Linked DNA regions of Lonchura striata. The protein of the gene in region 1 purifies or fractionates together with the protein of each later gene. This does not show direct contact. Links are inferred from orthologs where the notes say so. Each region holds a gene or a part of one and is shown on either strand. Other genes may lie near its edges. The genes, in order: USP10 and SIRT6.

Evidence for each region.
Region 2: the proteins of USP10 (region 1) and SIRT6 purify together in Homo sapiens (affinity purification with western blotting; 4 studies listed by BioGRID, with this or other methods). This does not show direct contact. The link is inferred for Lonchura striata from reciprocal best matches to the Homo sapiens genes USP10 and SIRT6.

Annotation. Positions count from the first base shown.
Region 1 is NC_134615.1:20,635,408-20,651,264, forward strand, and holds the start of USP10 (ubiquitin carboxyl-terminal hydrolase 10), read left to right. Parts: upstream 1-9,156; 5' UTR 9,157-9,254; coding exon 9,255-9,275; intron 9,276-15,857. Other genes in the region: KLHL36 (kelch-like protein 36), read left to right, coding at 1,632-2,187. UniProt on the Homo sapiens protein: Hydrolase that can remove conjugated ubiquitin from target proteins such as p53/TP53, RPS2/us5, RPS3/us3, RPS10/eS10, BECN1, SNX3 and CFTR.
Region 2 is NC_134630.1:6,744,544-6,760,066, reverse strand, and holds SIRT6 (NAD-dependent protein deacylase sirtuin-6), read right to left. Parts: upstream 7,505-15,523; 5' UTR 7,474-7,504; coding exon 7,408-7,473; intron 6,071-7,407; coding exon 5,943-6,070; intron 5,680-5,942; coding exon 5,497-5,679; intron 4,276-5,496; coding exon 4,216-4,275; intron 3,447-4,215; coding exon 3,351-3,446; intron 3,119-3,350; coding exon 3,038-3,118; intron 2,957-3,037; coding exon 2,833-2,956; intron 2,152-2,832; coding exon 1,843-2,151; 3' UTR 1,736-1,842; downstream 1-1,735. Other genes in the region: CREB3L3 (cyclic AMP-responsive element-binding protein 3-like protein 3), read left to right, coding at 1-6, 278-374, 561-901; ANKRD24 (ankyrin repeat domain-containing protein 24), read left to right, coding at 10,793-10,864, 11,828-11,958, 12,041-12,129, 12,426-12,490, 12,809-12,866, 12,944-13,014, 13,197-13,303, 13,380-13,567 and 8 more. UniProt on the Homo sapiens protein: NAD-dependent protein deacetylase, deacylase and mono-ADP-ribosyltransferase that plays an essential role in DNA damage repair, telomere maintenance, metabolic homeostasis, inflammation, tumorigenesis and aging.

The DNA.
Region 1 (15,857 bases):
AGTTGCCTTTTTGGATAAAGTCAATAACTATACCAAAGTTCTCTCCGTTTTGCTTCCTGTCTTTTCCCTGAGAGGCCAAGAAGCAGAACAGCCGTGAAGTCACCTCTGCAGGATCTCCAGGGCTGGAGCTCCAGCCCCCATAGTTGAACAGACTGTCCTGGTCACTCAGCACTGTCAGTCCAAGCATGTCACATGTCAGGGATTTTTCTGCTTCTTGTAGCAGGAACCTATTAAAATATCTGATTCAGACAGGGATCAGTGGTTTCAGCAGGCATCTAGAATAATAACCACCTTTCAGCTCGTCTCAGAAGCGTTGTGCTTTCAGGGTAAATGTGGGGTTTCTTTCCTAGACCATCTTTTCCCTTGGCACAGAAGTGCTGGCACTCAGGTGCATGGAAGATGTTCCAACAGCATTTGTGTGGCTCAGAGAAACCATTAGCCTGCGAAATAAAAACAGCTCAAGGTTCTCTCCACACGGAGCTCCAGCGTGTTCAGGCACGGTTCAAAGGCTAAAACCATGCTCACAGAGGTTTGTCTGCCGTGGAGGCTGCGTGGTCTCCAGTGCCTGACTACAAAGGATGGTGGTGAGGCTGGTGAGTGCAGCGTGATGAGTACATTCCTCTGTGCCCTGTGGCAATTGAATCCTTCAGAGTCCTTGTGAGAGCCAATTGGCTGGTGCTGCACCTTTTGACAACCCAACTCCCCCAAAAGAGGGAAAAAAGACATCTAGAAATGATGTGTTCAAAGCAGCTGATGCTGTTCATCACCTTGTGAGAGCTCAAAGGGGTTTGGTCAGGAATAGCCTAATGTGAATTTAAGAATAGCCTGGAGATTTAGGTTTATAGTGGGTTTATTATGGATGATCAAAGGGGGTTTCTCTCTGCCCTGTGGATGCAGCATGCATGGTGTTGCTTCTACCATCTCAATTTCTCTTACGTCACCATGATCTGTGATGGGCTGGGGTCTCCTGCCTTGTCCTGGGGTGACCAAAGGAGTTCCCAGATGTAGGGCAGCAGTGGTAGAGCAGACAGATGGCTCATGGAAAGGACACTGCCTGAGTTAGGACTGCAGGTGAACTGGGTAGAGAGCATCCATGGTTACCCATGTATCCACTGATCCTGAAGCTGTGCAAGGGCAAGGCAGCAGCAGTTTTCTTCTTGGTTTCTCTTGGTTTATCCCTACTGGTAAGTCTGAGAGGTGTCATGATTATTTCCTCTTTCTGTCACAGCAGCCCTTACTGAGATGTGGATTTTTTCCCTCTCTGGCCCTCTCAGACTGATGCAAGCCAAGCACTGGAGCAGAAGTACGGGAGTGAAGGTCATGACAGTAGAGCAGGATGGGCTATTTCTGTTGTGTGACACACTCCAGAGGATGCATTAAAAAGTGATTGTCATACCTTAGTGCTCTGTAGCAACCAGCTATGGAAAGGGTGATTTAAAAGTGGTTGTCAGGCTGTGCACTCTGCAGTGCAGGGTGAGGCCCTGGGAGTGAGAGGAGTTACTGGGTAACCGCCAGGTCATGGATTCTCCTGGCTTTAGTTACTGTTTATTTGCTTCTTTAGCACAGTCCTTGCTGCATGCTTGTGTGCCTTGTTCAAACCCCTGAGGACTGCTCGTGTTTGCCTGCCCCAGGTTTACCTACGGCCACGCTGGCACTGTCTACAAGGAATTCGTGTACATTTCGGGAGGCCATGACTACCAGATCGGCCCCTACAGAAAGAACCTGCTGTGCTACGATTACCGCACGGACGTGTGGGAGGAGAAGAGGCCCATGATCACTGCCAGGGGCTGGCACAGCATGTGCACCCTGCAGGACAACATCTACTCCATCGGCGGCAGCGACGACAACATCGAGACCATGGCTCGGTTTGACATCCTCAGCGTGGAGTCCTACAGCCCCCAGTGCAACCAGTGGACCAGAGTGGCCCCTCTGCTGCAAGCCAACAGCGAGTCGGGGGTGGCAGTTTGGGAAGGCAAGATTTACATCCTCGGAGGCTACAGCTGGGAGGAGGCTGTCTTCTCCAAAACGGTCCAGGTCTACGATAAGGAGAAAAATAAGTGGTACAAAGGGACGGACTTGCCCAAAGCGATTGCCGGAGTGTCCGCGTGTGTCTGCGCCCTGAAACCCAAAACAGAGGACAAAAAGAAAAAGATAAAAACAAAAAAACATCCAGATCGAGGAAGATGACCACTCCTGGATAGCCACCCTTGGATGGTGGGTTCCGAAGGGACCTTGTGTTTAGACATTTCTATCTAACCTTTATTCTTTTTCTTTTTAAACAGGGTGGGGAGGGCATCTTTTGAAGCCTAAGAAAATGTACACTTGAATGTGGTTTTTGGATTAAACTCATGTTTAAGGTAAAAACAACAAAAGAAACCAAAAACTCCCCCTCTTGCTATACAAAGGGTGATGTGGCCAGAGAGGTTCTGCTGCTCTCCTGAATGTTAAGGTTTAGGCTTCTCCTTCTGTGGTTCATGGCATTTCCACATACATCGTATTATATCGACGTTTTAAGGAAGTTTTTAAAAGCAACTTTTATACTTTTTTATACCACATTTTGCTAACTCACTCTCTCGTTTGCCATATATCACGTTGTTGACTATAGAAGCTGCTGCTCTGTGCTCGTGACCCCGCTGTTGGCGTCAGGAACTCCTCGTTGGATGATCTTTGGTGCCTGTGTGGCTTGGCCAGGCTGTGGTGCAGCTGTGGGAGCAGCACAGGCATTCCCAGCATTGTCAGGCCGTCAGCTGGAATTGGGACTATTGTCACAACTCCAGCTCCCCCAGAGCCCAGCTCGCCAGCCATGCCCATAAACACCCTTTATTTCAGTGGCTGCTGATCTGCTGGGTGGATTTCAAGGGCTTGGGTTTAAGGTTCAGCTGTTGATCATCGCTGTTATTTTTCCCTCAGTCTTCCTCTCCCATCTCCCTTTCCATGTATTTCAGATTTGCCTCTTCTTCCATCTGGTGTACGTGCAGGTGATATCCTGCTACCCTTATTCTTTTGTCTTATTTTCCCCCCTTCAAACAACTTACCTCAGTAATTGGAAAACACTAAGAAAACATTTTTGCACTTAATTTCATTTGAAACTCTAAGACCTACTACAAGCATATGTGGATCAAAAGACGTAACAATAAATTTCTGGAGTGCAAGGAGGTTATAGGTTGTTTCTTCAGTGCTAAGAAAACTAGCTGGAATTAATTTTCTGAAACTCTTTGAGGGTTTTTTTTGGCGATTTTTTTTAATTTAAAAAAAAAGCCTCAGGAGTCAGCCTTTCATTTGCATTAATGGATTTATTTTAAAGCCTTTGTATACTGCATGAGGTAATGGTTATTCTTTTTTAGCCTAAAAATAAATTTAAAACAAAACCAAAAAAAACCCAAATGAAACATTTTGGTTATGACAAACTCATAGACAAGTTTTTGGGTTTATTTTTTTTGGCATCTGAAATCCTTGCTATGTTGACTGACAATTACTTAACTTTTTGGGTACATTTTCATGTGTTCGTATGGAACAAAAATTTCAAAGACTTGCTTTTTTTCTGTTACTGGGTTGCTTGTTAACTATATCCCCTCTTTTAGCGTGTTTATGTATTACATTAATGTCTGGGAACAATAAATCCAGTTTAGAATATTCTATTCATCACAGTTTGATGTCTTGTGTATTGATTTCACTGAGGTTTTCCTTTTTGATTAATTGAAAAAAAAACTAACCCTGTAATAATTTTTCAGTGAAATTCATAATGGTGGAAACACTTTAGTAGGAAGGTAATTTTAACAATATTAAATAGAAATAGAACTTATTTAGATAATTCATGTTTTCTACCTTTTTCTCCTCCACAGAATCAGAAGAGACAAGGGGGAATTGCTCCCCACTGCCAGAGGGCAGGGTTAGATGGGATATTGGGAAGAAATTCTCCCCTGGGAGGGTGGGCAGGCCCTGGCACAGGTGCCCAGAGCAGCTGGGGCTGCCCCTGGATCCCTGGAAGTGCCCAAGGCCAGGCTGGACATTGGGGTTTGGAGCAGCCTGGGATAGTGGAAGGTGTCCCTGCCCATGGCAGGGGGTGAAACAAGATGAGTTTTGAGGTCCCTTCAAGCCAAACCATTCTGTGATTCTATGAAATTCCTTTTCACGTTTTTGCAGGTCTGACAAAAGATCCAGTCCAGTTTGTAGGGTGCTTTCAATGACAGTATTTAATGGAGTGTAGATAAACAATCTACAATTTCTTAACGTTGAACTTCATTGCATGAACAAAAGGCAGCTTCAGTGCTCATCAAAGCAAGCCTTGTTTCCCCTGGTGTGTGTGTTGGGGAAAATACCAAAGCCAGAGGCTCTGAGCGAGCGTGGGACATGTCCTGTGTCATTAGAGGTCATTGGGAGATGTACCTGTTGTTGCCAGAATTATTTTTCCATTATTGAAGGAACAAGTGATCCCCATTTGCATCTCCAAGCCCATGGCAGGGAGCACTTCTAAAGGCACAGTATGGCAGAGTGCCCCTGGATTTGGGATGTTGTGGATCCAGATGTGGCTGATGACCCCTATATTTAGGCTGTTCTGGATCCAAATGTGGCTGATCACCCCTTGGGAAGTGTCAGCAGACAGCACAGGGAGCTTGGAGATCACCCACGCTTCCCAGGGCTGCATAACTTTGGGGAATTGGTGTGCTGGGATTTCTGAAAAATGAAAGGGAGGATTTGTGTGATGCTAGTGGATTTTTTGCTGATTTTTGAGGTCTGAACAGTCCTCTTGGGGAGGAATTGCCAAAGGTGTATTCTCTTACTTCAGCCTGGCTCTTGAACCTGCACATCCCACTGCCTTCATCCCTAAGCCCTGTGAAGCATTTTACTCTTGCCAGGAAGCACAGCTCTTTCTTCTTGCCCCAGGGAAAAATAACTGGTGCTTTACCTCATTTTTAAAAATGTTTCCATTGCCAAATTCTGAGGAAAGCTCGTTTTACCTGAAACAAAGCAGCTACCAAAACCCTCAGGTTTGCTCTTCCCACACTTCCATGCCCGTATCGTGGCATTGGCACATCAAGGAGCTGCTCCTGTAACTCTGACATTAGGGAACAAATCCCTCGAGGTACCCTGAGGAAAAATCACAGCCTACTGTGAGATGCAGTTGTTTTGAAGGGCTGAGAAAGAAGATGGAAATATTTTTGTTCTCAAGTCGAAATTTTAAATTGAGAAAAATGTTCTGGTGTCTTTCTGTGTAAAAGATCTGAGTGCTTTCTGTGGTTTCTTCAAGGACTGCTGATTTTCTGGGCGCTGTTCAGGATTCCAGATTCTTGCATGACAGCAAAAAAAGGGGTTGTGTGTCTAGGGAATGTAAAGAAATAATTTCACCTTCAGTACTCTTTCTGAGAGCAATTTAACTTGCAGAAAACAAGCCCAGATTTGAATTGTGATTCTTCCCTTGCTGGTATGTCTTACAGAAGCTCTGACCAGTAAGACAAAATAAAAGCTGGCGTGACAGGTTTTAAATATTATTTTGTTTCAGCTTCTTGAGCTATTTCAGTTCTCATGAATGTAATAATGAGCGAGATGCTAATTATTCCTTCATGAACTTATGGCTCTGGGGTGTCTCAGGGATCAGGTCAGGGCAGATGGAGAGATTTTGTCACCACGCTGTGAGAGTCAGAGCACAGCTCAGCCACTCACAGCTTCCTCCTCCATCCTGGTAACTGCACACAGGGAGGACACAGCCCAGTCATGGGGTTGTTGGTGCTACACACATTTCTTAGTTCCTCCTGGAACTTGGAATGGCTTTGGGAAAAAATATACCTTTGTTCTATGGTGATGGGTTTGGTGACAAAACACAAGGGGAAGGTGAGATGGAGACTTGCTGGTTCTTTTGATGCTACAGAACTGACAGAGATGATTGAATGAGAAGAGGGAAGACTTATATTTAAGATAAGGATGAATAAGTCACAATTAATTAGCCAGAAGTTCTGCATAGATAATTGAAACACTGAGTCAAGCAGCCACATGATCTACTGAAGGCTTGTCCATTCTTCAAATGTGTTTCTGCTTGAACTAGTCCATGCTTAAGCTTTTTTACATCAGCAAATCTTTTACAATTGTTCAACAAATTTAGGAATGTGGAATTTGAAGTCAGGTTTGCATTAACCCATTTTTTTGGAACTAAATAGCTGCAGTTTGTGTCCTGTGCTACCTGTCTAAAGTCTTCCACCTGCAGAACCATTCCTGCCTTTCTGCTCTCAGGTTCCCTTTGCCCACTCCCAGTGCCTGCTGCTGGCCTGGGGCATTTAGGGCTCAGAAAGTTAAAAAAATATTACCAAGGTTGATAATTCTACAATCTCCCGTGCTGACCTAGAGCTGGCTGGTTCTCTACTGAAAATGTAAATATCCTATTTTAAAGATGAGCCAACTGACACTCCCTGAGATCCAGCCAGGGCTTGCAAATGCTTTATGTAGGCAAAGCCCTTATTGGACTTAGAAATTGCTGGGATAAAAGTTCTGCATCTCTGAAAAAAAAAAAGTCCTGGGAGCTCCTGAAGTTCTTGGCACCAGGAGGAAGTTCTACAAGGGCAGTACTAAACCTCCTGAAGTATTCCCTCTGTCCCTGAAAAAGCGGGTGCGAGGGTCCTGAGGGCTCCAGCTCCCCAAAAGTCATCCTGAGAAGTGCTCAGAATACATGTGTACACATCTGGCACTGTCACGAGCACGGATCTCATGACCTTGTGAAGTCCCAAGGAGTCCCCAGCGCTTTGCATTCCCAGCAGGATAAGAGCAATTACAGCAGGACCTGGAGCCAGATACCCTGGGAGTGGTTTATCCTTTATTTCCACAGCCACGGACCTCATTTGGTTTTGATAAATCCACACGTTGGTAAGAACATTGCTCCACGAATCTTAAGAATGTGTATATGCAGAAAGAAAAAATATGACACTGGTTATTTTTTTTAATTTGGAAAAGCAGCTTGTTGATTTGGAGGGATAATTCACAGCCACTGGCATAAAGGATGTAAGAAAATACAACTGGTTTATGCAATGAAAGCAGTAATGAAATAACAGGTTACTAAAACCAGCAAAAATTAATAAAATAGAACCGAGGTGAAACTTTGCAGCAGGTAAGTTTCATCAAAGCACTGTATTACAAAAACAAACAAACAAACAAAAAAACCAAACCCTTAGATTATTAGGAAATATTGCGGTTAAATGTTAACAGATATATAACTAAACTATACTAAGATGGGATAAAATTGAACATGTTTAAAATGTTGCTGAATGAGACAGTGATATCCTTTCTCAGTTTTCACCCTCAGCTCTGGGCTTTAGCAGTTTTGGTATTTGAACTCTCTGCTTTCCAGGCTGAAGACACTGTGTTCATTTGTATTTTGAAACAGTCAGTTTACTTAGGCAGCATTGTGGGCAGAAGGGAATTTTGCCTTCAACCAGATGAGCCACGTAAGGGTTTTCATTCCATTATTTACCTTGTAAATTAGACTCCCGAGGGGAGAGGGGCTTTCAGACGTTTGAACTGCTGTATGCAAAAAGCCTGAACATTTGTCTCCCTTTTTTGTTTCTCCCTTTTAATATTAACCAGCCATTTTTACTGCTGCTTCTCTGCCTCAGGACAGCACAGCAACACTTGCGAGAGACAAAAGCGAGGGAGCGGCAGCTGGGTGTGTCAGCTGGGAGGGTAAAGGCTGATAGAGAAAATCATTTATTGTCATTAGCACACGGCAAGTGTTGCTCTTCACAAAACAGGAGGGACGTGTCCTTGTCGTGGAGACGGGGAGGAATCTTCTTCCCACTTTCCGTGAACAGCCAAAGACACAGAGTTCTTGTGTGCTCTTCCTTTTCTTCTATTTAACTTTCTCACCGATTTAAAGTTGTCTCTATCACTCGCTGCCCAGCCGAATTAGACTTTTGCAGGACTTGGTAGTTTGTGTAAGGGAAAAAAATATGGACTAAATTAGCGATTAATTTGATGGATTCTTGCCTGGGGGTTTCAGTATTGTTATGACTCAATCCGCTCAAAATCATGAGATTGGCTTAGTCATTGCTAATTTTTTTTTTTTTTTCCTCTCCTAGATACAAACTCTGAACCCATTCCCATCCTGGTTATTTGGGACAGAGATGGGACAGCTTCGCTCTGGCATCATCTGGGCACACAGCTTTGCTTGGAACTTGCCAGATTGACCCTCAGCATCTGTAAAAGCCTGAAATCTGGACAGGTGAAATCTGGACGTTAGGAGGAATTTATTCACAGAAAGGGTGATTAAACATTGGAATGGACTGTCCAGGCTGGTGGTGGAATCACCATCCCTGGAGGTGTCCAAGGAATGCCTGGATGTGGCACTCGGTGCTCTGGGCTGGCTGACAAGGGATTGGTCACAGGGTGGACTAGGTGGTCTTGGAAGGCTTTCCCAACTTAATCAAGGAGTCATGTAATTAATTCTTTGGGTTGGAAAGGAGCTCTGGAGATCACCCAGCCCTGGACCTTGCCAAGGTAAGGACACCCGGAGCAGGTGACACCGGAACTTGGCCAGGTGTGCTCGGAATGTTTCCCTCAAAGAGACTCCAGGCCCTCCTTGGGCAGCTATTCCAGAGCTCTGCCACCTTACGTGAACAGAAATTCCCTCTCATGTTGAGCTGAAACTTCTTTATGGTTTATTTTATGGCCACTGCTGCTTGTCCTGTTGTTGAGCACCAGCCTGGCACAGGCGCCCAGAGCAGCCGTGGCCGCCCTGCATCCCTGGCAGTGCCCAAGCCAGGCCGGACAGCGCTTGGAGCGACCTGCGATAGCAAAAAGCGTCTCTGCCCATGGCAGGGGGCGGAACTGGATCGTCTTTAAGCTCCCTCCCAACCCAACCCATCCCATGATTCTGCGATCCTTTTGGCACCCGCCCTGCCGATATTTCTTCACACGCACTAACGAGATCCCCCTCTCAGCCTCCTCTTCCCCAGGCTAAACCCTCCCCGCTCCCTCACCCTCCCACAGGGGCGATGCCGGGCGCGGCGTTGCGGGGACGCTCTCGGGGCTCCCCGCCCGCCTTCCCGCCCCGCTCCCCTCAGGGGGGCGGAGCCGCCTCCCGCCCTTTTCCCTGGGCGCCCTCAGCTCCCGCCCCGTGCGCGCGCAGCGGGCGGGCGGGGACGGCGCATGCGCGGTGCGGCGCGCGCCCGCCCGCCCGGCCCGGCTGGTGCGTGCGAGGGAGAAGATGGCGGCGGCGGGGGCGGCGGCGTGAGGGGCCGGGACCGCCGAGCTCCCCGGGGACGCGGGGCGCCATGGCCCTGCACGGCGCTCAGGTACCGCCCGGGCCCGCGGGCAGCCCTGCGCCACCGCGCCCGGACCCCGCCGGGCTCCCGGCGGCGGGCGGGCCCCGGGATGTTGGAGGAGGAGGGGGGGGGAGCGTGGTGGCCGGGAGTAGGCCCAGGGTGATTGTGCACGTTCATTGAATGTGCCGAGGGCGGTGGGGCGGCCTCGCTGCCCGCGGGGGTGGCGGATCCGGCGCTCCCGGGGCGGAATTCCCATCCCGGAGGGGTCCGGAGTGCGGGGGGCCGGCCCCGCTCCGGTGTCGGTGTCGCCACGCCGGGGCCCGGGGCGGGGGTGTCGGTGCTGAGCCCCCGCCCGAGGGCGGCTCGGACAGAGCGCATCGCTCCGGCTGCGCTTTTTAATTTTTTGGAGTGGGGGGAGAGGCAGAAACGTTTCTATAACGAGAAGGGAATAAGGAGATTTGTAAACTAATCCTCCCCCCTCCCCCCCGCCCAAACACTCGATAAACCCCGGCGCATCGGGGTGCAAAGGGCTGAGTGTTGCAAGATCGCCGTGCACGGGGATGCGTGTGCGGATTCCATGGATCCCACTGGCTGAACCAGCCCGGAGATTTGTGCACCGAGTGGAAAAAAAACTGCAGTAGTGGTGGTTTTTCGCTGGAACTTTACAGCTGGGTTCCTGGGCTAATCCAGTGTGTGCTTAGAGCGAATTATTGAATGGGTTCGCTTCTCTGTTTCCCTTAAGGTTTTTCTCCCAAAGAGATTGGAAGCAGGAATGTCAGGAAAAGCGTGTGGAGCTCTGGAGTGTTTTATTTGCAAGGACTTTGAGCAACTTTTTTGTTTAGCAAATAATAAAGTTTAGAAAACTGTGGTGGTGTTAAACATAATTTTGTTAAGGATCCGTGTCTTCTGTCATAGGAAGCACGTTTCATAAAATGTAAGTAATTTCGAACAGGGTGATGCTTTATTGTAAGTTCTGTAGGTTTCAGGGTTTTTTCCTCCATGAAGTTAAGTTACACATCAAATAAAGACGTGAACTGGTGGCACTGGCATTTCCATTTTAAAAAGTTTGTAATTGGTGAAAACTATACCGACATTTCTTGTCCAGCTTGATTTATTTATGTTTGAGGGCAAAACGTGAGTGCCTTTGTTAATGTGGGTGTTCTTAAGGCAGCTGCAGTGTCTGGAGTTTGTTTCAAAATTAAGACTAATTTTAAAAATTTGCGTCCTTCTAGTTTTATTTCAAAGTAAGGGAAACTCACTTACTTTTGGACCTTTTTTATTGTCCCAATGAATGATTTTTGAATGCAGATACCTCAGGAGGATTCAGTGTCCGACTCAAGAGTTGTTTCACTGCCTGCTTTCTCCCCCCTCAGCCATACATGTGGTCAGTTTGATAACTTTGGGGTTTAAAATGCAGCTATTTTCATGATTCAGCGGAGTTAAGGACGTGTCTTGGTCTGTACATAATTTTGCTGGTGTACTTGAAAACAAGAAAACTTAGGCTGATGATTTAGTTTATGGTGAAATGCTCCATAGCTGAAATTTAAACTGGGCTGTAAATTCATCTTTAGTAGCAACTTGAGCATAGACTATTTTAAATCATCCCCCTCTGTAGGTAAAGGTGAATATTAGGCCTCGTGTGGTTGCTGCTGAACTTACATTATTTGTATTAGATAGTATAAAATGTGGAACATATATATTGTGGAAGCACATTTGTAAGATACTGTTTAGCTAATACTTTGTTCATATTACTGGTTTTGGGTTTTTTTATCCATTTTAACCAGTTTATTGAGATGATGTCTGGGATTTATTTGAGTACATCTTCCAGAACAGTGCTGTGATGCTGAATTAAGGTAACAATGTTTTGCAGCCTTTGGGATGAAAAGCCTGAAGATAATAAGTTCAGGGATGCAGTTTCACATGTAGATGTTTCCTTTTTGTTTTAGGATGGTAGTATTGCAGATGAGTAGAAAAAGTAAGAAAGTTTTGATAAAACTTGCCTGTTCTGAGTACAAGATAAATAAGATTATTGAGTCATTATGTTCATGTCATGATGCAGAAGTAGACAGAAGTGTTTTCTTCTTCCATATCTCTAATTTGGGTGTACCATCATTGAGGCATTTTTTGTCACACAGGGGAAAAAACATCTTCAAGAAAATCCCGCTGCTCCTCCAGCTAAAATGCAGAGTCAGATTTCTGCCAATGGATGGATTCATGGAATAGTGGGCAGAAATATTTCATCAGTCAGTTTGCACATTGTGACAAATGACTCCTGAAACCCCATCATATTGAATATTTCCATTGATTTTGGGTGGCCAGCTCAGCAGGCGCAGAAGCGTTTGATAGCACAGTTCAGATATTGCTGGTCTTTGTGCCTCTATTCCATGTCACTATTTCATAATCATCTCATGAGGTTTAAGTGTTGCTGTCGGTCTGCTGGGTGTGTGCTGACTGTACTCACAGTCTGTCCTTTTTTAAGGTGAGCTACAAGTAAACCTGCTGTGTATTGCTCCATGACACTAAAGATGCTAAGCTGATCTAGTTAAAACCACTTGTCATCAAGGGCATCTAAAAATCTCTTGAAAAAATAAAAAAGGACAACTTAAAAACTATTTCTCTGTAAAGAATAAAACTCTGTAGGAACTGTATAAACAGTTGTTTCAGCCACTTTTTCTATTGTTTTTCATAGAAAGAATTAATACAGGCGCATCATTTGTAAATCCTGTGAAAACAAGTTAAGCAGAAGAAAGGATACCATAGCAGAATGAATCATTTATGCTTGTTTTGCTCTCCCACCATTACTGTGGTGTCAAATGAACTCGGTGCCATTTTAAATGTACCACGTTGGCCCCAAACCCGGCTGAAGTGAAAACCAGGCGAGTTTGAGCTGAGAAAAAAAAAGCTGAAACAGCTCCTAAGCTGCTCATCCTCACCCAGGTTGTGTCTGGCCTGGCAACCAGAAGAACTGGAACTCAGAACATGGCATGCAACCTGACTCCCTGAAACACTGCACTGCAAACTGCTTCTTTTATGGCCGGCTTGGAGGGCTGCTCCCTGGCAGGGTGCAGTTTGATGTTTTCTTAAGCCAGGACTCTTTCTAGAAGACAAAAAAAAAAAAAGAAAAATAAAAAAAAGCAGCAGCCTGCAGGCATTTGTGCTGTGCTGTCTTTGCAGTGTCTTGCCTGATGTTTGTGGTGATTAGGAAATCGATGTCGTGAAAATAATGTCCAAAAAATGTTTGTTATGCAGCTGGATGAGTTTCTTGTGTACAGATGTGTAACGTTGGAGTGTCCTCACGGGCAGAAAGAAATGTTTGGGGATGGGGCAATTGGATTGTGTCAGGTTTGTGAAATCCACTGAAGATGTGGGGGACACCCTGAACACAAAATAAAAGGTGGCCGTGGGAAAGAGCTGCTGGGAGTGGAATTGGAGGGAGGTGTGTGAGTGCCCCATCTTGCTGCAGCTGCTCAGTTGCTGTTGTCTTTTAAAGGTCTGAATAAGCTGAATTTGGCTTTTTTTCATTGCTCAGAAGGGTCTGGGCTCATCTTTTACCCATGGAGTGAGCAGTTATTCCAGGCTTCTGTGATCTTGGGAATTGGGGCTGCAGCTGAAACCGGGAGTTTCGGTAGCCAGAAGGGATCATTTGCCTTTCTAAAATGTGAATGGTGAATCCACACAGAGTAAAGTGGGTGAATGTGGGTTGGTTGACTTAAAAAAAGGAAGTCTGGGAAAACTGACATAGAACTTAAATTTGGAACTATATGGCAGCATGCAAATAGGCTAAAACCCACAGGTTTTGTGAATCACTGCTATTTATTCTGTGTATTCTAGACTATAGCACTGATCTGGAGACTTCTTAGAATGGATCCAGCCATTTACCTATTAATAAATCCAGTTTCTGTAGGCAGTTGCTCAGACATACTGGTCTTTCCATTCATGTAGCTGTTAAAATACTTGTAAAGTTAAGTGGGGTTTTGTTTGTAGGTAAACTGAGCAGTCTCATTTCTTAGTGATCGACACACAACGTGCTGTGTTGTACAAAACTGCCAGATCTGTTAGAATAGAAGTTGCTGGCCTTGGGCCACTGGATTATAGTCATTTGTCACTCTAATGCCATTTCAGCAATGTAGATGTTCATTTCCAAAGAATTAAACATGCTGGAACTGCGGTTTTTCTTTTTGATGGAAGTGTTTTATGTGTGATCATTAAACATACAACTGGGGATTAGGGAACAAAGGGTAATGCTTCATGGTGAAAAAAGTGTGTGTGTGTGTACATGTGTGTGTGTTTGTATATTCAGACATTCCATAATAGAATAGTCTGATATTTTAAAATTGAGGTTCTGAAACCTATTTTTGTTTTATGAAATTGTGCCATAGGTATTTAAGACTGTGTTTTAAGTATTTCCAATAATGGGACTGTGTTGGTTATTTTTAAAACACTTAAAAGGATTCTGTTTTGTTAGTGCTCATGTTAATATATTCATTAATGCTTTAATAGAGTAAAACTTTGAAGTCTTTTCATTTTGTATTTGACTCTGTAATACCTAATTTATTTCCAGATATTCCTGATATTTTAAATATGTGTAAGAACTTTTCCTCCTTGTTTGGCAGCATATGATCTATTGATCTTCAGTGTGTGCTACAAGGTCTGTTTTTCTTCACCAGTAGTGTGCAGGAGGAAGATTAAATCACAGTAGCCTTAACAAAATGTTTGTGTAAGGCTTCTTTGAATCGTACACCTTGTGGAAAAAAACATCTGTTCTTCAAATCAAGAAAGGCTTGTTGAGATTCTGTGGTAGCCACCAATGTCAGTGCCGTAGGAAAGAAATGTACCAGGAGCACTTTGGGGAATTTGCTGCTTGTAGTATTAAATGTGAATTCACATCATGGATAGAAGCTTTAAAAGAAGCACCGTGTATTATTTGCATTGGAATTATAGTAGGAAAGAAAGGGATATAGATGGGCTGCCATCGATGGTAATGTTAACACAAACTGGAAAACCACTTAAGGGATCTGAAATTTTTTTGCTTTGTTAAAAAAGTAAATACCCCAAGTGAGGCTCTGCTTTGAGGTGGAAGAGAAAACTGCACAATCTGTAAGAAGCTGTAAAGAAGAGCTTGTCTCTAAAGGTTGTGTGAAAAATGCATTTAAAAAAACATGCAAGAAAGTAGGTTTTCTTCAAAGAATTTTGTGTATGAAAGACTTCTTATTTTGTTTGAAATCCACTGGGCAGACCAGCAGAAATAGTTGAGCTATTCCCTCAGTGCACTGGGCATATTTTTTCATACAACGTTTAGAGCCTGCTCAAGTGATTCACATATTTCCTGCCTCATTTTTCCCCCTGAATGTTGCACACTGACAATGCATTTGCCACTGTAACTCAAAAATACAGAAGTCGTGTATCATCCATACAAATAAGTGAAAGCTTCTGGTCCAAAAATGTTTTGTCTTGATGGAGTGGGATGTCTTTGCAGGTAATAGAACAACCTGTTCAGATAGGTAAGATACTGATAATCCCTTGAATTCTTGGTGTAAGCTTTAGGCTGGATGGAGAGGGAAGTGACAAAAGTTCAGTTAATTTGTTTAATGGTAGAGGCAGGCAATTAGATTAGTTGTATTCAAATAATGGCTTTGGACTATGTTACTTAGGGAGGATATTCAGTTCAAAAGGAGGCTGGTATATAGTGTGGAATGGCCTTGTCATTTTAAATGTGAGTAGATAGGGTAAAAAGGAGAGGGAAGTCAAGCAGAAAGGAAAAGAGTCATTGTCAGCACAGGTAACAGCTGAATTGCAAAAAGAATCGAGTTCTCTTGAGTTCCAGTCTACTTAGTCTAGCCATTAAATCTTATGGGTTCTAATAATAGCTAGCTGACCAAAGAAAGAAAGAAATAGCACTCTGATGTCCTTACAGCATGGAAAACCTCACTTTCTGTTCTGCTGCTGCCTTTGGGATACAAATCCAAAACCACAACAGTTTGAAAATGCCTGTGGAGCACTGTCGTTAATTGATAGAAAGTTGGAAAAAAGTCAAAGACAACTTATTGAGGCAATTTCCACTTATTTAGGCAGTACTCACTTTCTTCTCAGTTAAGGGCTGTGACCATAGACCATTGCTGTTAAGAAGTTTAGGCTTCCACATTTCATCACACATGGTGAGAACTCCCTAATAGAACTTGAAACAACAACAACAAAAAAAGAGTTTATGCAGTTAGTGTGCTTTCAGAGCAGACAAAAACGAGATACATAAAATTGTCATCCTGGCATTGCAAGCAACAGAAAATGTAAGTGCAGCAGAGTCAGAAGCGTGAAAGAGGATCAGTCAGCTTTCAGAGCAGAAGAAATAAAACTGTTGAATTTGTTCCTGTCAACAGGTTCATGGTCTCAGTCTCTTGAACTTCACCGTAGTCCAGACATAGTTCTGGGCTGTGGTGGTCACCGGGCTGTGGTGGTCACTCTTGTTGCTGTGAGTCCAGGTGGCAGATGCTGCCGTGGTGTTCCAGGTGTTGCCAGAGCTGTTTCCTCAACTGGAGAGGATAAAGGCAGTGGATGTGTATTACACTTGACACTAATGATTGTCACATTAAGGCTGATACGATTTTCTGATTTGAT
Region 2 (15,523 bases), on another chromosome or scaffold:
CTGGCGGTGCGTGGGGCCTCCAAACCCTGGGAGCCATGGAAATGGGCTGGGAGGGAGGGACGGACGGATGGATGGATGGATGGATGATGGATGGATGGATGATGGATGGATGGATGGATGATGGATGGATGGATGGATGGATGGAGGTGCACTAGTAGGACATGAAGCAAAAGGGAGGGATGGAGGAATAGATGCACTCCTGGGTCTGCCACGAGCTGTGACCCAGCTCCTGGTTCCTCTCCTCTGCTGTGCTCAGTGATGTCCTCTCTGTCCCCAGGTCCTGCTGCTCTCCTTCACCCTCATTGTCTTCCCCTCCATCAGCCCCTTCGCCTCCAGCAAGGCCGAGGCAAATGGTGACTTCAGGCCAGTACGAGGTGAGGGCTGAGCTGGGGCTGAGCTGGGGCTGTGCTGAGCTGTGCCAGGGCTATGCTGAGCTGTGCCAGGCTGTGCTGAGCTGTGCCAGGGCTATGCTGAGCTGTGCCAGGCTGTGCTGAGCTGTGCCAGGGCTGTGACAGACCCTCAGGGCCCTGGCCCAGGCCCTGACCCTCGGTGGGGCTCAGTTTTCTCCAGGTCCCTGCACAACGCCGCCGCCTCCCGCGTGGTTCACACCCAGCCCCAGGCCGGGGATGAGAAGCCCCCGGAGCCGCTGTGGTCGGAGCCGCTGCAGGAGACCCCCGAGACCCTGCACGAGGCTTTGCAGAGCACATTCCCAGCACTCCCAGACAAAGGGTCCCTCCAGAATGACACCTCGGCCACCGAGGGGCTGAGCCACGAGGACGGGGACCAGGCCGACGCTGTGCCAGGGGGTGGCTCTGCGCCACACCCGGCGCTGGCATCCCTGGCGTGGTCCGAGCCGGGGCACGGCCGGCCCGCGGTGCTGGAGCCAGCGGAGGAGCTTTAGGCAGAGCAGGAGCACGGGGGTGCCATGGGGTGACAGCACCTCATCCCTACGGGACACGCCCTCGGGGGGACCCCTCCGGGATCTGCCTCCGGATGCTGGACCTGCTTGGCTTTGCTTGGATTCTGTGAACTGGGAAGAGGAGACCGGTTCCCACTGGCCTTACTGGGAGGGAAGGGGCTGCTCCTGCCCCCCTGGCACAGTGGGAGTTGTGGAAGGGACCTGGGGTCACTCAGGATGGGGCTGAGGAAGCAGGAGGGGCCCTGGCCTGGTTGGCTGCTGATGGTGCATCTTGGCTATGGTTGGTTTTGCTCTTGGTTTTGTTTTGGTTTTAGAATTTTATTTTCATCTCTAAATATAAGATATTTTGGAAAAAATCCACCTGCTGTAGTTTAAGAGGGGGTGATCTACAAGGTTTCAAGGAGCCCTGGGCCAGGGGGACCTCAAGCCCAGCTGCCATGAGGGGCCCGGGAGAGGGGGGACACACGGCCATGCCCAACCTGGAGCTGGGGCCAGGGCACCCTCCCACAGCTCCCAGCCCCCAGTCCAACTGGGATGCAGCCAGCACCAGTCCCTTCCATGACCAAGTGACATGGAATTACAGAGTCATGGAATGGTTTGGGTTGGAAGGGACCTTAAAGCCACCCAGTGCCACCCCTGCCATGGGCAGGGACACCTTGCTGTGTCCCAGGCTGCTCCAACCTGGCCTTGGACATTTCCAGGGATCCACGGGCAGCCACAGCTGCTCTGGGAATTCCATTCCAGGGCCTCACCACCCTCACAGGGAAGAATTCCTCTATGCAAGGCCCTCCCTAGGCCCGTGGGTGCTCCGCGAGCCACAATTCAAGTATGTTTAATACTGACATAAAAAAAGGGACAATATTTAAGGGTATAAAAAAAAGTCGGTAGGAAAAGCAGCCCAGGTGAGACAGGGACAGTCCAGGTCAGGTGAGGAGAGGCTCCACCTTCATCTTCTTCACCGGCGTTGGCCCCGTGTCCGGGCTGGGACGCTCCTGCTTGAGCCCGTCACGGCGCTCCAGCGGCGCGCTCCCGGCACACGGCGCTGCCGTGCCGTTGTGCTGGCCCTGGGGCTCCTCCTTCAGCCGCCCCTGCAGCTGCTCGCCCTTGGCCAGCTCGGCGCTCTCCACCACCACCGGCCCCGTCCACTCGGGCACCTCCAGCCCCAGGTGCTTCATCAGCTTGGTCATCACCTCGTCGACGTAGCCGTGGATGCGCAGGTCGGCCTGGCGGTCCTGGACAGCAGGGACACGGCTCAGGGGACAAACGGCCCCTCCCAGGGACACGGCGATGTCCCTCATGTGTCATTCCCAAAGGGACATCAGCTGGCCCTGGGGCTCTGCTGGGGCGTGGGCTGGAGCCACACCTGGGGATGGGGACACAGGGACAGAGTGTGACGGGCACAAGGGAGCTCTGCTGATATCCCAGGAACCCCCAGCTCTGGGCATTAAAGACTTTGGACAATTGGGGCACCAACATCTGAGCAGGAACCGAGCAGGAACCGAGCGTGCCCTCCACGGGTTCCATGTGTTTGGCCCTTCCATTGGGCTGTAAACCCTGGGAGGACACAGCAGGCTCCAGGCTGAGCTTTCACTCTGCTCCTAAGACTAGCTTGGACAGGGCTTGGAGCAGCCTGGCATAGTGGAAGGTGTCCCTGCCCATGGGAGAGGGAATAAGATGAGCTTTAAGGTTCCTTCCAACCCAGCCCTTTCCATGACTCTAATATTTACCTGCCATCTCTACGTGTTTAGCAGGAGTTGCAGGTTTAAACCCTCCAACCCAGGACTCTCAGCCTGTTTGACTGCTAAGAGAGGCCACCTGGGAGGGGACAACGTGCAGGGACAAACTTGAGATGGGCCTGGAACAGGGGACAGCAGGGGAAGGGAGCAGTGCAGAGCTGCGGGACGCTCACTCACGTGTTTGGTTGCTTGGAGGTTGACGATGACCAACTTCCCTCCTCTCTTCTTGGTGATCAGTGGGAGGTTCCCGCTGGGTTTGATCTGCAGAGAGGTCCCCAGCGTGATGGAGAGATCAGCTTTCCTGCAGGGAGGAGGAGAAATCCAGAATCAGGGCATGGATGGGTGGGAAGAGGCTGTTCCCCTCCTGAGCAGGTGTCAGTACCTGCAGGCTTCATCTGCCAGCGTCAGGTCACGGTCAGGCAGGGAATCTTCCCAATCCAGAATAGTGTCTCGTAACTTCCCTCTGGAAAACACACACAGGGACCATGGTTTTCCTTGGAAAAGGCAGGAGAACAGGCAGCAGAGCTGCCCTGGCAGAGGGGACAACGACCAGAGCCTGTCCCACCCTCCCTGTCCGCACACTGTGAAGGGGTGGAGAGCACCCAGAGAGATCTTCCTGCACCTTGGGCTGCTTCTCCCACATCTGAGGGGCTGTGGGGTCACCCCCCATCCCACATCCCCGGGGGGATCCCCACCTGCAGGCCCGCAGCCCCCGGGCCTTGGTGACGCTGCAGAGGCGGCCGGTGGGCTTGAGCCCCATGCTGCCCACGACGGCGTCGCGCACGTACTGCCTGCGGAGACACGGAGCGCTCAGCGAGGGGCTGAGTGCCCAGCACGGCCTGGCATGGCCACCCCAGCTTCCCCCTGGCATGGCAACCCCAGCCCAGCTTCCCCCTGGGATGGAGATCCCAGCCCAGCTTCCCCCTGGGATGGAGATCCCACCCCAGCTTCCCCCTGGGATGGAGACCCCAGCCCAGCTTCCCTCTCAGATGGAGATCCCAGCCCGGCTTCCCCCTGGGATGGAGATCCCAGCCCAGCTTCCCCTGGGATGGAGATCCCAGCCCGGCTTCCCTCTCGGATGGAGATCCCAGCCCAGCTTCCCCCTGGGATGGAGATCCCAGCCCAGCTTCCCTCTGGGATGGAGATCCCAGCCCAGCTTCCCCCTGGGATGGAGATCCCAGCCCAGTTTCCCCCTGGGATGGAGATCCCAGCCCAGCTTCCCCCTGGGATGGAGATCCCAGCCCGGCTTCCCTCTCGGATGGAGATCCCAGCCTGGCTTCCCCTGGGATGGAGATCCCAGCCCAGCTTCTCCCTGGGATGGAGATCCCAGCCCAGCTTCCCCTGGGATGGAGATCCCAGCCCAGCTTCCCCTCGGATGGAGACCCCAGCCCAGCTTCCCCCTGGGATGGAGATCCCAGCCCGGCTTCCCTCTCGGATGGAGATCCCAGCCCAGCTTCCCCTCGGATGGAGATCCCAGCCCAGCTTCCCCTGGGATGGAGACCCCAGCCCAGCTTCCCCTGGGATGGAGATCCCACCCAAGCCCCCCCAGGGCTCACGTACTTCCCGCATTTCACGCACTCTTCCACAAACATGTTCCCATGGAGCTCGGCCAACTTGTCCCTGTGGGAGAAAGGCACAGGTGAGCTGGGGAAGGGTGGGGAGTCCTGGGGGAACCCCACCTCCTCCCCAGGAACCTCGGGGGCTTCCCTGCATTCCAGCTCTGCCAGGTGATGGGCTCATCCCCAACAGGGACTCAGGAAGGGACAGCAGGTCCCAGCCTTTTAATTTCAGTGTTTCCATCTGGTTGCAGCTCCTGACCTACTCAAATCTTTGCTCCTGGGAGCACCCAGATCTTTGTTTCTCCAGCACCCAACATTCCTGTCTGTCCCTGTGCTCTTCCAGCCCTCTGACACCTGTTTTTCCTAAAATCCCCCTCAGGCTCAGAGCAGAAGCCAGAGGAAGACGCAGCCATGCTCTCCCTATTTTCCTCAGAGCCCCACGCTCACTGGGAACTTCCTCCAGGCTGCGTGAGACAGGACTGACTTGATTTCCCCCAGTTTGGCCCCAGTTCAGCTTCCTCAAGCACAGGTTTCACTTGGGAGGCAGAGCTGGGCTGAACTGAACAGGAGCCAGTGGCTCCAGGCTGTGGGAGCACCATGGAATTCTGTGATCATTCCCTACTGCTTTTCCCATGGTTGTTTGGATTAAACAGACAAACAAGGGGCTGGGAGCAGGGCCCAGGACTTGGGGCTTGTAATGACAGGAAATGCCCTGGAGGCAGCTCTGGCTGAAGGTGTTTGTGAGAGGCACCTTCTCCAAGGACACATGGATGCTCCTCACTCACATCCTGACTCATAAAATCACAGAATGAGTTGGGTTGGAAAGGACTTTAAAAGATCAACCCCCCTGCCACGGGCAGGGACACCTCCCACTGTCCCAGGCTGCTCCAAACCCCATCCAGCCTGGCCCTGACTGCTCCCAGGGATCACAGAATATCCTGAGCTGGAAGGGATCCACAAGGATCACTGAGTTCAACCCCTGGCCCTGCACAGACACCTGCACAGGGGAATGAGATGGGCTTTAAGGTGCCCCCCAACCCAAACCATTCTGGGATTCCATAATTCCATAATCTCTGTTTTTTCTATGCACAAACAGCACCTGGAAACATTTCTAGACAGCAACATCCAAGGCTGATTTGATTCCAAGACCCTCTGGAACAGCACCAGAACCTCTCCCCTCTAAATTCCAGCTGGTTTATCCCTTTCCAGCTTCCACTCCCTGTATCAGAGAGGGCAGAGATTCCTTGGGAATGAAACCCCCCGTGTGGGGCTGGGAAGGTACCGTGGGAATCCTGACCGCACGTGCAGGCCGTCCACGTTCTGGCTGACCAGGAATTTCAGGATTCCCACTCTCTGCAGCCCCAGCAGCGCCATGTGAGTCTTGGAGGGCCTGGCATTCTCGAAGGTGGTGTCGAATTTTGGGGAGAGCCCTTTTTCTTCCATAGTCCAGACACCATTGGGACCCCTGGAAAGAGCAGGAAGGGAGAGCTCAGGCTCCAGGTGCCCCATCCATGGGAGCAGAGCTCATGGATCAGCAGGATTCTGGGGGTTGATGCAAACAATGTGGGGATTCTGTGGCAACAGCTGAGATGTGCAAGAGGGAAAATGGTGTTTGCAGCTGGATCCAGGACGGACAGCAGGAATGGGGCGGGTCTGGGATAAATCAGAGCTTTCCATGAAGGAAGATGGACCTGGAGGAGGTGCCACCCTGCCAGCCCTCGGACTTACCTGAAGTCAGGGATGCCCGAGGCCGTGCTGATCCCTGCTCCTGTGTGGAACACCACATGGGAGGAGCTCCGGATCAGCTCTGCCAGCTCCTGCACCTTCCGCTCCAGCTCCTCCGGAGGGTCAAAAATCTGGGAAAACACAAAAACCAGCATGGGATGGAGAGATGTGGGCATGGATTATATGGGGAAGGAATCCTTCCCTGTGAGGGTGGGGAAGCGCTGGAATGGATTTCCCAGAGCAGCTGTGGGTGCTCCTGGATCCCTGGGATGTCCAAGGCCAGCCTGGACAGGGCTTGGAGCAACCTGGAATAGTGGAAGGTGTCCCTGCCATGGCAGGGGTGGCACTGGATGATCCTTCAGGTCTCTTCAACCCAAACCATTCTGGGATTCCATGATTCTAGAAGCCCAGTAACCCACAATTCTTCCTTATCCATGAATGATTTTGCATTCCTTAAGGACAGAAACATTTAATAGGAGAGACTCCACGCTGCCTGGAGCATCTCGCTGCAGGGACAGGGCTGGGAACTCCCAGCACCAACAGGGAGTTTGCTGCTCTGGCTGGCAGCTGGCCCAGGCTGGGCTCCAGGAGCCACCCGGGGCCACCCCACATGTGCCCCACTGTCACCAGCAGTGCCACCAGCTCTGGGGACAGGGCAGGGCCGAGGGACAGCGAGGGACACCAGATGCTGGTTTGGGCACGGGATTTAATTCCTGAGACACTTCTCCAGCCCCATCTCTGGGGACGGGGACGAGGACAGGACCCTGTGTGTCCCTGTCCCCTCACCATCCCCTGGGCTCAGGACGGGCTGCAGTGTCCCTGTGGCTCCCCTCAAACCTCGTTTTAGGCTTCCCAAACTGCTGGGGCTCAGGGGGGACACGGAGGGAGCCAAGGGGGCTGTGGGGGCAGAAGGAAGGACCAGGGTGGGGTCAGGGAGGCCATGGAAGGGGACATGGAGAGGGGACATGGAAGGGGACATGGAGAGGGGAAATGGAGAAGGGACATGGAGAGGGGACATGGAGAGGGGAAATGGAAGGGGACATGGAAGGGGACAAGGAGAGGGGATATGGAAGGGGACACGGAGAGGAGACATGGAGAGGGGATATGGAGAAGACACATGGAAGGGGACATGGAAGGGGACATGGAGAGGGGACATGGAGAAGGGACATGGAAGGGGACATGGAGAAGGGACATGGAAGGGGACACAGAGAGGGGCCGAGGGAGCCGGGGGCGGCCTGGGGGGACATGAGGGGGACCAGGGAGCCATGGGGTGTCGGGGACAGGCACCCAGGGAAGGGGGACGGGGAGGGAGCCGCGGGATGCGCTCGGGACACACGGCGGGCTCGGTGCCCGCTGGGTTCCCGAGGCCGCGGTTGCCATGGGGACGCGGCGGGCCCGCGGGAGGCCCGGCGGGCGGGCGGGGGCTGCCCCGGGCGGGCGGGGACGGCCCCGGCGGTGCCGCGCTCACCTCGGGGAGGCCGCACTTGCCCTTGTCCGAGTACGGGGACAGCCCGGCCGCGTAGCTCACCGCCATCGGCGCGGCCGCCGCGCGGCGGAAGAGCCGGGAGGGGCCGGGCCGCGGGACCGCCCCGCGCCGCCGCCGCCATCTTGGAGCCGGGCAGGGCGGGGCCGCGGGACCGCCCTGCGCCGCCGCCGCCATCTTGGAGCCGGGCAGGGCGGGGCCGCCCCGCGCCGCCGCCGCCATCTTGGAGCCGGGCAGGGCGGGGCTGCCCTCAGCGCGGCCGGGGCCGACCGGGACTGCCCGGGACCGACCGGGACTGACCCGGGACTGACCGGGACTGACCCGGGACCGACCGGGAGTGACCGGGAGTGACCCGGGACTGACCGGGACTGACCCGGGACTGCCCTCAGCGCGGCCGGGACCGCCCGGGACCGACCGGCAGTGACCGGGAGTGACCCGGGACTGACCGGGACTGACCCGGGACCGACCGGGAGTGACCGGGAGTGACCCGGGACTGACCGGGACTGACCCGGGACCGACCGGGAGTGACCGGGACTGACCCGGGACCGCCCGGGACCGACCCGGGACCGACCGGGAGTGACCGGGAGTGACCCGGGACTGACCGGGACTGACCCGGGACCGACCGGGAGTGACCGGGACTGACCCGGGACTGACCGGGACTGACCCGGGACCGACCGGGAGTGACCGGGACTGACCCGGGACCGCCCGGGACCGACCCGGGACTGCCCTCAGCGCGGCCGGGACCGACCGGGACTGACCGGGAGTGACCCGGGACCGCCCGGGAGTGACCGGGACTGACCCGGAGTAACATGGGACTGAACCGGGACCGCCCGGGACTTGACCGGGAGTGACCGGGACTGCGGGACACTGCCCCGACATTGACCCGGGACTGACCCGGGACTGCCCGGAACTGAACCAGGAGTGACCGGGACTAAACCGGGACTGACCCGGGACCACCCGGGACTGAGCGGGAGTGACCGGGACTGAACCGGGACTGACCGGAGTGACCGGGACTGAACCGGGACTGACCCAACACTGCCCCGGGACTGCCCGGGACTGCCCTGGCACTGCCCCGACATTGCCGGACACTGCCCCACCTGCACTGAACCCCTGCCCGGGGGGACACAGGATGGGCAGGGGTGCCAGGGATGGACAAGAGGTGCCACCAAGAGCAGGGGATGCCAAGGAAGGAAGGAAGGAGGGACAGGGGGTGCTGGCAAGGGCAGGAGTGCCAGGGCAGAGCAGTGGCTACCAGGGAAGGACAGGGCGTGCTGACAAAGGCCGGGATGGCAGGGAAGGACAGGGGTGCCAGGGAGGAGCAGGGGTGCCAGGGAAGGACAGGGGTGCCAGGGAGGGACAGGGGTGCCAGGGAGGAGCAGGGGTGCCAGGGAGGAGCAGGGGTGCCAGGGAAGGACAGGGGTGCCAGGGAGGGACAGGGGTGCCAGGGAGGAGCAGGGGTGCCAGGGAAGGACAGGGGTGCCAGGGAAGGACAGGGGTGCCAGGGAGGAGCAGGGGTGCCAGGGAAGGACAGGGGTGCCAGGGAAGGACAGGGGTGCCAGGGAGGGACAGGGGTGCCAGGGAAGGACAGGGGTGCCAGGGAGGAGCAGGGGTGCCAGGGAAGGACAGGGGTGCCAGGGAGGAGCAGGGGTGCCAGGGAGGAGCAGGGGTGCCAGGGAAGGACAGGGGTGCCAGGGAAGGACAGGGGTGCCAGGGAGGAGCAGGGGTGCCAGGGAGGAGCAGGGGTGCCAGGGAAGGACAGGGGTGCCAGGGAAGGACAGGGGTGCCAGGGAGGGACAGGGGTGCCAGGGAGGAGCAGGGGTGCCAGGGAAGGACAGGGGTGCCAGGGAAGGACAGGGGTGCCAGGGAGGGACAGGGGTGCCAGGGAAGGACAGGGGTGCCAGGGAGGAGCAGGGGTGCCAGGGAAGGACAGGGGTGCCAGGGAGGAGCAGGGGTGCCAGGGAGGAGCAGGGGTGCCAGGGAAGGACAGGGGTGCCAGGGAGGAGCAGGGGATGCTGACAAGAACACGAGGTGCTGTCAGAACCAGGGGCTGCCAGGGTGGGGAAGGGGATGTCAGGTCAGGACAAGAGGTGCCACCAAGGGCGGGGGGTGTTTGGGATGGGCAAGGGGTGCCAACCATCAGAGCCCAGCCCTCCCCAGCACCCCAGGCCGTGTCCCTTGTCCCCAAACACGGCCCGGCCCGGCCCCCCCCCGCCTGCCCGGGGCTGTAACCGCAGCCGCGGCCGTAATACAATCCCCGGCTCCGGTTCCCGGCTGCGGGCGCTGCGCTGGGAACGCCAGGACGGGCTGGGAGCAGCGGGACCGGGGGCGCTGAGCTGTCCCCAGGCAGGGACAGACCCTCCTGGAGCGTGGCCATCCCTCCCGAGCAGCTGCCACGGGGCTGAGGCTGAGCCACCATGAAGAGCCTGAAGGCCAAGTTCAAGAAGGCAGATGTGAGTGCCATCCCTGGGGACATGGGGACACGGTGACCTGCTGCAGGGTGTCTGTGGGGACACGGGGATCTGCTCCAGGGTGTCTGTGGGGACACGGTGACCTGCTCCAGGGTGTTTGTGGGGACACGGGGACCTGCCCTGGGACACGGAGTGGTCGCTCACAACGGGGACAGCAGTCCTACAGAAGTTGGCACTGCCACTCTGGCTGGTGGGATCAAGCCCCCAGTGCACCCCCTGTGCTCCCAGAGCCATCGCTGGGAGTGGGGCAGAGCAAAGGAGAGGGAAGCAGATCCCAGGTCCCCTCCCTGTCCCCCTCCTGGGGACAAGTGCCACTTTGCCAGCTGCCACAGCCCGTGGAACCAGCCTGTCGATGCTCCTCAATTATTCAGCAGCAGCCTGGCATGGGGCCGCAGAGGGCAGAGGGGGACAGCGCTGTCCCCAGTGCACTGGGAGGGACACAGCAGGGGACATGGGGACACAGCTTGAAGCCCCTCACCCGGAGTCTGTGGGACCATCCTGCTCGGGGCGCTCCATGCCTCAGTTTCCCCACACTGCCCTGGACACGTCCCTGAAAGGCTCCCGATGTCCTGCTGCCAGCGGGACTGCCCGGACAGCGTCTGGGGACCCTCTGCGTTTCGGGGTTCCTCCCTGGAGGTGTTTGGGGGGTCCCAGGTCCCCCCATCGGGGGCCGGGAGGATGCTCAGGATGCTCAGCCCTGCCTGGGAGCCGCTCCGAGGCGGGATGCAGGGATGCAGGGATGCAGGGATGCGCTGAGGAGGGAGGGAAGGAGGGAGGGCCGGGGGCGGAGGAGGCGGGTCCGGCTCCCACTGCCGCAGCCCCGGCCCCCGCCCGGGCGGCGATGCCGGAGCGCTCCGGGCTCGGGGGTGCCCGTGCCGGCCGGGGCGGGGAGCGGGGGGCGCATGGCGTCCTCCCGCCGCCTCCTGCTCAGCACCATGAAGCAGATCTGCCTTTGTGCCGCCGCCTCCTTCGCGGTACGTCCCGCTCCCCTCCCGGCTCCCCTCTGCTCGCGTCCCGCGGGCTGAGCCGTGTCCCCCCCGCCCCACCTGCACCCCACATCCCCATCCCCATCCCGGGGCTCCCCGTGTCCTCCCCATCCTGCTTTGTCCTTGCCTGGCCAGGGAGTGGGGGGAGCGGGCACCACCCTCCCAGTTTGCCAGGAGCCCTGGGAGACTGGTTTGCTCCCTGTGCCTGGTCCCACCGGGCTGGAGGGGCTCGGGGGCACCCGGCGGGCACAGGCGGGTTTGGGACAGGTGCCAGCGGCTCCCGAAAGGTGACATCCATTTCCTGCCACCGCGAGCGCAGCCAGCGCCGCTTTGTCGTCACGGGCTGTGGGGTGAACCCGGGACTTGCAGTCCCTGTCCTGGTCCTGTCCCACTGCGGGTCCTCCTTCGGGACAGGGAGCACCGGGAGAGCAAATCCCAGCCAGCTGCGGTCCTGTTTTGGGGGGCACAGCGCTGTGCCCCGTTATCCCGGGAGGCTGGGGCATCCCTGGGGATCTGCTCTCGCTGCCAGCTGTGCTCGCCCTGGTTTGATCCCTTCCTCCTCCGGGAGCAAAGCAGGGCTGGGAATGGGACTCCCATGGGTTCTGACTGGGTTTAGTACTGGGATTTCAGGGTGGCAGGGGCAAACCCCTGTACAGTTGGGCTCAGTCCCAAATCCCAGCCTGGCACAGCTAAACTGGGCTGTGTCTGTAAATCCCCCACTCTGTGAGCTGCAAACTGGGGGACTGGAGGGGATTTTCATCCCAATCCCTGCTGAACTCTCCGTACCTGGGAGTGAGCTCGGAGGAGAGGGGGACAGACACGGCCACCCCCAGGGACAGGGCTGGAAGGGGCACAACAGGGCTGGGGACAAGGAGAGCCAGCCCAGCCCAGCCCTGGGGACAGCACTGTCACAGCTGACACTGTCACAGCCTCCTCTGGGCCCTGTTGCAGAGCCAGGACTGGACCAAGAACGACGAGAAGCTGCTGCAGGCCGTGGACTACAACGATGCCGGGCGGGTCACGTCGCTCCTGCTCCGCAAGGGCCTGGTGCCCACCAAGCTGGACGCGGAGGGCAAATCCGCGTGCGTGCCAGGCCCTGCCCTGGGGACACGGCTGGGGACAGGGGACATCCTCTGAGTCCCTCAGCCCCTGGTCTCGCTGTAGGTTCCACCTGGCCGCCACGCGGGGCAATGTGGACTGCCTGGAAGCAATGCTGGCCCACGGCGTGGATGCCATGACCAAGGACAGCTCGGGTGAGGGCATGGCCACCATGTGCCCCTGCCTAATGCCATGGGCCACACAGGGCCACTGGTCATCCCCAGGTGTTGAGGATGAGGGGACAGAGGTGGTGGCCACACCTGGGGGGCTGTAAATTGTCCCAGTTTCCTAAAGGAGCTCTATTATTGCTTCATGAGCTCCTGGGGTCGTTCCCTTCCTGTTCAGCCCCATTCCAGCAGATCCTGCTTTGTGCCTGTCTCTCTCTGTCCCTAAGCTGTCCCCTCTGGCACAGCCCTGCTGGCCATGCTCTGACCTGTTTGTCCCTTCCCAGGTTACACTGCCCTGCACTTGGCCTCCAAGCACGGCCACCCTCAGTGTGTCAGCAAACTGCTGCAGGTACAGGGAGAGGGAGGAGGGACAGAGGGAGGGAGGGAGGTGCTGTGCCAGCACGGTGTCCTCCCTGTCCTTGAACCCCCTTCCCTCACCAGTGCCAAGGCATGGTGGTTCCCAGCTCTGTGCTGCTGCCTGGCACCAGGGAGCCACAGGGGTCTGTCCCTTGTCCTTCAGCACAGCGTGGAGCCAGAGGGGGTTGGTCTGTCTGTCCCTCTCCTTCACCACACCACAGAGTCTCTCAGTCCTTCATTGTGCCACAGAGCCACTCGAGCAGTCTGTCCCTCTGTCCCCCTCCTCCCGTGACCCAGGCTCTCCCCGCAGGCCTCCTGCCCCGTGGACGTGGCCGATGGCAGTGGCCGGACCGCGCTGCACCTGGCGGGTGAGTAGGGACAGTGCCAGCCCTGTCCTGCTCACGTCCCCGTAGGGGCAGCGCTCAGCCTCTGTCCTTGTCTGCAGCTGCCAGCGGCTGCATCTCCTGCTCCGAGATCCTCTGTGACTTCAAGGCTCCCTTGAACAGCAAGGACAAGGTGGGGTCACACTACTCCTGGTCCTGCTGTGCCAGGCTGGGGCTGTCCCAAAACACAGCACCGCTTGGGGTGGGATGTGGAAATTGGGGTGGGACGTGAAAATTGAGGTGGGACGTGAAAATTGGTGTGATATCGGGAGGATCTGAGTCTCCTCTGCTCATCCTTCCCCCTGCCATGCCCAGGACGGCTCCACGCCGCTGATCCTGGCTGCCAAGATGAGCCACTCGGAGCTGTGCCGGTACCTGCTGCACCGCGGGGCCGCCGTCAACTGCCGGGACCTGCAGGGCAGGTGGGGCAGCAGGGCCGGGGCCCGGCGGCGGCCGCAGGGATGGTTCCCTCCTCACCCACGCTCTCCCCGTGCCCAGGACAGCGCTGATGCTGGCCTGCGAGAGCGGCAGCGTGGACACCGTGGAGGTGCTGGTCAGCGCCGGTGCCCGCGTGGCCGTGGTGGACGCCACCGGCCACGACGCCGCTCACTACGGGCTGGCCACAGGCAACGTCCTCATCCAGCACCTCCTGCAAGAGGCGGCCCAGCGCCGCTCCTGGGCCAGCGGTGAGGCTGCCGGGCCGCCCCGGGCTCCCTGCCACCGTCGGACAGGGCTGGCAGAGGCTGCGGGGATGTGTCCCCTTTTCCTGGGTGTTTGGGGCTGCCTTTGCCTGTGCTGTCCCCAGCCTCTGCTCTGAGCTCTGAGCCTCTAAATCTCCCCAATTTCTCTTCGCTCTGCTCCACAGAAGAGGACTCAGCTGAGCAGACGTCGCAGGTGAGGGGCTGGTGCCCATCCCTGGAGGGTCCCCTGGCTCAGGAAGGAGGGAGGGCACTGTGGGTGTGACGTCCCCTCTGCCCTGGGGTGTCCGCAGACATCTTCGCCCAGCCAGTCATCTGTCAGGGAGAAGAGCAGCACCCCGAGGAAGAGGAAGGCCCCTCTGCCTCCCCTGGGCACCCCCAGCCAGGTGAGAAACAGGTCCCCAGGTCCCCACCTGGCCTGAGTAGCCCAAAACACTCCTCGATGAAGGATCCCCTCATTGGGGGTTGGTGCCAAAAAGCCCCCTCGGGCACACAGTGGGATTTTTGGGGTTTCCTGTGCCAGGAGTTGGACTCGATGCTTTCCGTGATTCCCTGCAGGAGGACCGGGACGCCTACGAGGAGATCGTGCGGCTGCGGCAGGAGAGAGCCCAGTTCCTGCAGAAGATCCGGGGCTTGGAGCAGCAGGAGAAGCAGAGACGGGAGGTACCAGCTGCAGGGTCCTGGGGAGCAGAGGGGACAGGGGAGATGGGGACAGCACTCACCCCTCCCTCTTTTCTCCTTGGGTCCCGCCAGCGGGCAGAGCTGGATGAGGCATCCCTGCGTTCCATGGAGAAGCAGGTGAGGCCTCAGCTCTCCGCGGGGTCCTGGTGCTGGGAATGCCACCAGGACTCTGCCAGGAGCCAAGGGGACCCTATTCCCATACCCTGCCCTGCAGATCCGGGAGCTGGAGGAGCGGCTGGTGGCACGGGATGGGGAGAAGGAGAAGCTGGGCAAGGAAGTGGAGGCTCTGCGGAGCCGCCTGTCCTCGATGGAGGTGGGTGTGGGCAGGACACAGCTGGCAGTGCCCAGGGCTGGGCACAGGGGCATCACCTCCACCCTGCACCCCCAGAATGAGAAGGAGAACACGAGCTATGACATTGAGACGCTGCAGGACGAGGAGGGAGAGCCGCTTGAGTTCCCAGGTAGGTCTTGCCAGCCTCCCAATAACACCTCGGGGAGGTGACACTGGGCAGTGGGGGCACAGGTGGGCACCGCCCCATGTCCCTGTGCCCTGCAGGAGCGGAGATGCTGCTCTCCAAGAAGACACTGAGCCCCTCGGCCGAGGAGCTGCTGGCCACTCTCCAGGGGCAGGTGCAGTCCCTGACCGTGCAGAACAAGGAGCTGAGAGAGAAAATCCAGGCATGTCCCCCTCTGTCCATCCGTCTGTCCCTCCATTCCCTGTCCCCTGGCCCACGGTGGCCTCACGGTCTCTCGGCAGGTGCTGGAGAACTACGAGCGGGACGAGAGCAGCCCCCCTGCCCCGGGGGACGTGGTGCCCGCCAGCCTGTACCAGGCCCTGCAGCGGGAGCTGGAGCGGCTGCGGGCGCAGGGCAGGGAGGCCACGGCTCGGGCCGGAGGGGACGGGCAGCGCGCGGCCTCGGAGCCCATCCCAGAGGGAACCGCGGGGCCGCGTCCCGCCGAGGAGCCGGCCTGGGCCTGGGGCGAGTGCAAGGCAGCACTGGGCGAGCTGGGGGTGCAGACATCCTCCTCCTCCTCACCCTCGGGCGAGCGGGAGCCGGGCGCAGAGCTGGCGGAGGCACGGGCGGCCCTGAAGCGGGCGCAGACCGAGCTGGAGGAGCGGGAACGGCGACTGAAGGAGCTGCAGGCCCAGCTGCAGGCTGCGGAGGCTGCGGCCTCACCAGGAGCCTCTGCGGAGGAGGCGTCGAGGGACAAGGAAGCACTGCTGGAGCGCTGCGGGCGCGCCGAGGCCGAGGCCGAGGCGCT